Saccharomyces cerevisiae S288C: one gene and its partner. The gene in region 1 interacts genetically with each later gene. Each region holds a gene or a part of one and is shown on either strand. Other genes may lie near its edges.

Region 1 (3,761 bases):
AAGTTTGGAGGCAACATCTTAGTACCTTGAAGGCGAGCATTGATTGTGATGCTTGAGCGTGATTTTAAACCAGACTCAGGCGGATTTTTCTCAGCATTAGTAGTTCTTGACTTTTTTATTGGTGATATTTCTATTACGTCCTTCCAAACGTCAACCTGTTCGTCCTGTGTAAGATCCCGAATTCTTTTACCGGGTGAACTATCTAAAACGCTTTGGCTGTTTGTAATCTCATCTACAAAAATCAACGAATCATCGTCATTATCGCTGTGTTCATCGACGGTGGTCAGTCTTGTGGGAGCCGGTATTTCTTCCAGACTAGTATCTTCGTCTGTATCTACAAAAAGCCTTTTTCTCACAGGTTCCAGGATTTCCTTTCTCGACTCGCCTACCTTTCCGATACTTTTAATCGGCGAAGTATGCTTTCTTAAAAACTCATCCAAGTTATTCTTCTGTGGTAGCCGAGACTTATTCGATTTTTTACCTTTCTTCTCTTTTTCTTTCTGTATAAGTTGCTGTGTCTCATAATATTGAATTACTAATGGATGCGATTGAGGTATCAAGTATTTGGGTAACCAAAGACTATTTGGGTGTTCCATTATATCCATCTGACGTCGTGTGGGACTCTTGCTTCTACTGGGAGAATTACTGCGCTTCAAAGGAGATTGAGAAGAAATGGGTATATTAGGCAAGAATGTTGTATACCGTATTTTAAAACATGGTATTTGGAACTTTCCACCATCTATGTTCATAATTTTTTCTTCGGTAATCCTCATATTACCTTTACCTATATTATCGGACTCATCAATTGATAAAAATTCTCTTAATAGAAACATCTCGTGCATAGAATCATGAAACCACTTGTCGAAGCTAGAAATTTGAGGCAAATTCAAACTTTGTAAAAAATATTTCAGTTCATTGAAATTTAAGTTTCTGTAGTGTCCGTTTCCAGCCATATTTATGTATTTATCACTGAGAACTTCTTCATCAAAATATGGTTGGACAATGGGGTGAAAATAGTGCATGATTGCGACAGTTGATGGCCAGCCTTCAAATGAACCTTGATTCAATAAAACAGGATAATTTCTTCCAAATAGCTCGACAGAATGATCCTTGCAGTATAAATATAATCTTTTTTGAAACAATCTATACCGAGACTTCCTCAGACTTTCTGATGTCAAATCTTCTAAATTGAAATCTTTGAAAATGTCATAAAATTCCATGGAAAAGTTAGGATCTTCGCATTGAGCCAACTGCAAAGATTTGTTTTTACCCAAACCCTTGACTCCACGATTGTAATCGGCACCTAATAGCACGCTGAAAAATAAGAGAGACAGGCGATCAAACTTCTTCCCTGCTACTTTATTAATTTTGGGTAGATCTATAACAGTAACAAAAGATTCTTTACTATCATGATGTCTACTGGGACTGTGGGAAGTTATTGAACTTGGGCCAAAATCATCGTAGAATTTCGAGTAATTTTTCAGGATTTTTTCTCCCCCAAATACGAGAGTATCTGAATCGTTACTTAAAATGAAATCTACAGCCCCAGAAACTTGCAGCCAAACACACTGGGCTTCTCCCTCCCCACATGCGATTACATATGAAATGTTCATCAAGTCTAATAATTTCCGTACAAGACTGATGAACTCAGGGTCAGATGGCGCTAGCAATCCTTTACAATTGCCATAAACTTCATGATTCTTAACATGCTGTTCCCAGCTTGAATAGTACTCTTTCTCATCATCACAAGTAGTAGCGTTCTGTTCGTGGTTAAATTTCCTTTTGAAAGAGGGTTTCATAACTCCGTCAAATACAAGCAAGAATTCGACGTTTAAACTCAGTAGTTCTTTTAATCGAGATATGAAGTTTATCACAGCTTTTCCTGTAGTTGTATAACTTCTGCTACCATAATATTCTTGACTACTGTCGATATCACTATCACGCGGAGAACGGGTAGGACTCCTTGATCTTGATCTAGATCTGGCGCTTATATCTATATTTTGGATAAATCCACACTCAAATAGCCATCCATATGCGTCAATCGCGATTCTTGGAGCTCTTTTTTGCGATTTATTAAAGTCTATGACAAACTTTCTCAACGGAATTCTGGAATCTTGCAGATATGGCTTCAAAAATTCCCATATTTGTGAGACACCCATTTTCTTGTGCAGTATCCAGAATATACAAGTAGGTAAAATGCAATAGAACTGTCATTTCATTGGATGGACCATATACATTATTGTTTATGTGTCAGTCAAAAGCTAGTTAAATTATTCAACTGTGGGCATTATAAGAAAAAGAAAATGCCATTAAAAAAGGGCCGTTTAAAAAAAAAAAAGAAAGAGATAGACAAAAGAAACAGGGGAGATAGAGAAAGAATACCAAATAATAATTAGAGTGATATTACAAATTCCTAATAATATATGTCTACACATAAAAGTAATACAAATAGAACAGCCAGTGTTCAATGCCAATATACTACCATTTCTTTTTTTACAAGTAATTTGATCTGAAAATAGCAAAACAAATAATACCAATGCTCAGGATTGTGGTCAGAGGTAATGAAAATCTATCAATGCAACCGTTCAGTAATTATTAACATAATAAGAATAATGATAATGATAATACGCGGTCATATACCAAATTTTAACCAATCCAATTCGTCAGCAATTGCTGAACTTTCTTTAGAAGATCCTTTTGTGGAATTATCCTCACTGATCTTTCCGCCTGCACTCACATCTGCTTCATATTTTATAGGTGAAGTAGAGTCACTTGATAATCTATTGTTAAATTTGTGATTTGAGATAAACGAATTCGACTCCGAGTTCTGCAATTGTTGTGATAACAATGAGGTATGTGATTTTCTTGAAGAAGGTCTTGAGACACTCGGTGAATCTACAGGAGTATTAAAAATATCAAAATTTGGCTTTTGAGAGACAAAATTTGATGATCTTGAATTTGTTGAAACGCTATTGCTTGAATTCCAATTCTGTCTATTCGAATTCGTGTTTGTGTTGGAATTCACGTCCACTTGTTGCTGTTCGTGCAGTTGTTGCAAAGACGCAGCCATAAACGATGAGGAGTACGATGCATTGCGCGACATCTTTCTTCTTGGTATATTCATTCCTTGACGTTGGAAAGAATTTGATAATAGATTCTGCTGTAGAGGACTATTTGAGTTAAAGTTTGCGGACGATATAATTCTTGGTGAGGATGCGACACTATTTCCTGCACTTACATTATTTGTTGTGTTCATTAGGTTCATGTTCATGTTGAACTGCTGTGAATTAGCGCTATTAGGTGAAGGTTTTGGTAATATCGGAACAACAGATCTGGATGAAGATTTACTGGAACTTGAGGTGTTCGATGAAGTACTACTTCGTCTTGAAGACCTTCTAAAATTAGGAGTAACAGTGTTCGAATTGTGACGCATTAAGTTATTAGAATTCAAATTTGCATTGCTTGCTCCATTAAAATTTGCGTTACTACTATTATACGATTGGCTGTTCATGAGGACCGGGGAGGGGACTGAGTTGAAGTTATAGCCTCCCCTATTTACATTAAGGATATTATTAGTATTACCGATGTTGTCTCTAATGATTTCTTCAGGTATCACTCTAGATAAAGAGTTTTGTTGTAGTGATTTTTTCCTCGATCGTATGGGTTTAGCATTTGTAGTGGTTACTGAAGTTGAGGCAGTTGCAGGTGCACTTGGAGTATTTTGTGCAATGTTTGGGTCCGTTTGTTTGGCTCTCTTCTTT
Region 2 (3,761 bases), on another chromosome or scaffold:
CTGTGTTCTTCTTGTTCCGGAAATTGATGTGTAGCAACCATAGTTACTTTTCGAAACAAATTTATTGACGAAGTACAAAATGTTTTCAGCATGTTCTTTCATAACTAATTCTTTAACGTACTGGATTTCTTCATTACAAATGATAATTGAAAAAGAATAAGTTTCTAACAAAGAATCCAGCTTTTGTATTATGATTTCCATAGAAATTTTATTATGCGAGAGCTTGTATTTGATTGAGTCTTGCAATAACTCGTGTACGATATTGCCTAAAGTCATGACAAGGCTTGGTTCTCCGCGGGGATCTTGAAATTGCATTTGCAGAATTGAACGTCTTAAACAACCTACTGAACTTCCGACTGATGTTGCCGAAAATAATACATCAGGGTTTAGCACCAACAGGTTGTCGTTAGCCAGTTGAGTTTTAGGGTTTTTGTCGTCAGAAAGAAGCCGTTTGTTTTCAATATTTTTCCCTTCTATAATATGTATTACATCCCCAACCTCAAATTCCAAATATACCCAAGGATGTCGAACGACAACAGAACTTTGTTCGCCTTTGCCGTCTATACACTCTAGTATTTTTTGCGTTCCAATTTTTGGCAATTCAACACTACGTAAGCTTACTATTACTAATCGTACTACGCCGTCTCTTGGAGCACCAGACTTAGCTCTGAGAGCATATGCGGATAAAGTGGAATCAGTAGCAATTCTCAAATCGTCAGAGACCATTTTCTCCACTTTGTCTAAATCTTGTTCAATAGTGTTAGGTTCCACTTGTGTTTGAGTTTCGTTCAATAGTTCAATTAGTGAATCGTCTGAAAATTCGTCTGAAGAATTGTATTCTATTTTTTCATTTTTTTTAATTCTTTGGCAATTACTGTCTTCTTCATTCTCATAAAATGCATTGCCTGTTTTGGCTTGATTGTCTACATTTTCATGATCTTCAATTTCTCCTCTCGATTTTGTGTTATCATTCTTCCCACAACTTTCCTGGGCTCCACTTTTTTGATTGGTGTTGCCTTGAATTGTTATCTGACTCTCACTCTTGCGTTTCTCAACATACTTTTGAGTTAAAATATCTATCAAAGAGTCATCGCCATCGTTGCTATCTCCTGTTGAATCCATTTTATCTACTTCTTCTGCATTCACCTCTGCTTTTTTTTCAACGTTGGGTGCCTTGATGGGTGAAGATGGCAAATCGCTGAATTTCGTTATCGTCGGTTTTATAGTTAAATCGCCCTCTATATCATCGAGAATATCATCTATATTACGGAGAGACTCCCTGGTAGATATTTCTGCTGGTTTAGGACGCACTTGCTCATTTCCATTTTCTTGAATGAGTTGATTTACGTCAGCGTTGGGTACTTGGATATTTGTGAAACTAAGAACAGTTTTCAGTCGATTAGGGACTATAGGTGTAGAAGAGGGATTTTGGACATCTTCGTAGTCATCAGAGTATTCGGCAGCGCTTGTTGTTTTGTCGGACATATCTCGTTGTAAAGGTGAATATTTCCATATTACTTCTTCCATGGGGCCGTCCTCGTCTTGAGTGAAATCGTGATGCCTACTCAAATTAGACATTTCCCGTTTCGGTTTAACTTGTGAATTTGGTAATTGCTTTACGCTCTTGCTAACTGCTTTGTTTATATCTTTTGTTCTTGATGTATTTCGTACTTGTGAAACGGCTATTGACTTTAGGACACTTGCATTGGATACCTTGGTGTTCTTCCCATTTAAGTTATTTATAGGAGCAAAAGCATACTTTTTTTTCCTCTTAGTTTGCTTAGATAATATCGCCTTTGAATCATTTTGTATTATTTCTTTTTCCTCTGTCTTCTTCGCAGGTGAAACAGATATACTCGCAGACCTCTTGTTCTTCTGTGGCGTTCCGGGCATCCTGACGATCTCTTCAATTGTCAGTGTTTGCTTGCACAAAATGAGTACTCACTTGAGTATGTTTTCTCCCAATTTTGTTTTGAGGCTGCCGTAATGATTGTAACTTTATCTTCAAAAATGTAACACAAGTTTTGCCATAAATAGCGTAAGATCAGTTAAATATATATAAGTTCTTTCTGCCGCACGGAATTGCTTTATTGCGCGAAATGAAAACAAGAATATCCAATTTCTATATGAAGGACATAATGGAATGGGAGTGACAACGGACCATTTTCTGTCCGAACGATGTCTATCTCCTTTGGTTACTTTTTGAAATAGAATCACAGTCAATGACCAATTTTCACATACTTATAGCTTTTCATAGTGCGGAAAGCGTAGCTTTGAAGTAGTTCCGAAATTATAATACATCATCGTGTGGTAGGTAGCAACTACGACGGGCATAAAAAATGCGTTGAATATTATACATACAAACTTATACTTACATATATATCTATGAAATAACAGATTCCAGTTTATTGGGGAATATATTCAGCTAAATACATCGATTTGTTCGGCCTCTAACTCTTCGTCCCCCGCCAATTCGCTAAACTGTAAAAAGTGTACTGGACGATGCATCTCATTATAGAATTCCAAAGGAATGCCGTATTTAAAATTGTAGTCACCTTCTTGGTTAAATGCTGTTCCCATAAATGTGTAGTTCCAAACGTTTCCAGATGGAATTATAAAATTACCTGTGATACGGTCAGAGAGAAGTAATTGGGCATGCGTGCTGAAAGTAGGCTCAAACCCTTCCGATAGCACGTTCATTATATCCTTATTTTCTTCACCCCATTGGTAACCTTCGTCGGTCAGGTTATAAGCGCTTAATGATACTGATCCCGGGGTGGAAAAAATTGAAATATCAATGCAGTCTCTTTTCTTATCCGCAAAAAGTTTAGAATGAGTTGCTACTTCAGACGCAGCCATGAATTTAAGTTCTTCTGTCTGGGTATGGATCCAACCGAGTAGTTCAAGGCCTTCAGTATCCGGAAGGTCTCCGATGTCAGGGATGTTGCTTATCTGAACGGATCCTACGTGGCCTAATTGAGGTACCAGCACAACAGTCTTGATTTCTTTCACCTTCGGATGATCTTTTGCTGACATACCATAAATAAAGGCCGCCACCTGGATTTTCACATCGGATATCTCAATAAACTTCTTTAATAAATTTTTTGGAAGGACGTAAACATTCTGTTCCTCCACGAAATCATCAGCCGAAACATAAATGTTTTTTAACCTCAAATATAATAGTGTATTAGCAATTGCAGATTTTCTCCATTCATTCTTTGAACTAAACGTTTGACTTTCGTAATCAGCGGAAGCTACTACAACTATCTCCTCACCTTGCGCATTGATAGTTTTAGTTTTCATAACAGTTGATGCACCTGCAGCTTCTTCGTCGTTCTGCTTTTCTGACCTGGCAGCTTCTAATTCAGCCATTTTTTGTCTCTTCACAGATGGTGCCTTGATATTTTGACCCAATATAATATCTTTAATTTCCGTTTGAGTTAAGGCAGATATATTGACATTGTATTTTCTGCCGTACTCAGTCAAAATCAAATCTCTCATTTGAGATTCGATAGTGATCCATTGTTCATCAGTGAATGAAGGCCATAAATGGTACGATTTGATAGTGATCGTGGGGTCACTGAGTAGAATCATTTTGGCACTTTCCTCGTTCGTCTTTAAAGCTCTTAAAAGTAGTGTAAGTCTAGAAAATGCAGTGTACGATGAAATACGGTCTAACCAATCATCATAAATGTTAAACAGAACCATCTGAGGTTCAGTAGCTTTCATCACAACATCAGAAAGTTTATCTATTGACATTG

What was found.
Region 2: mutations in YEN1 (region 1) and DNA2 are lethal when combined (synthetic lethality), as found in Saccharomyces cerevisiae (5 studies listed by BioGRID, with this or other methods).

What each region holds. Positions count from the first base shown.
Region 1 is NC_001137.3:230,859-234,619, reverse strand, and holds the start of YEN1 (crossover junction endodeoxyribonuclease), read right to left. Parts: upstream 2,160-3,761; coding exon 1-2,159. Other genes in the region: nitrogen-responsive transcriptional regulator GLN3, read right to left, coding at 2,633-3,761. UniProt on the Saccharomyces cerevisiae protein: Endonuclease which resolves Holliday junctions by the introduction of symmetrically related cuts across the junction point, to produce nicked duplex products in which the nicks can be readily ligated.
Region 2 is NC_001140.6:427,286-431,046, forward strand, and holds the start of DNA2 (bifunctional ATP-dependent DNA helicase/ssDNA endodeoxyribonuclease DNA2), read right to left. Parts: upstream 1,894-3,761; coding exon 1-1,893. Other genes in the region: U4/U6-U5 snRNP complex subunit PRP8, read right to left, coding at 2,422-3,761. UniProt on the Saccharomyces cerevisiae protein: Key enzyme involved in DNA replication and DNA repair.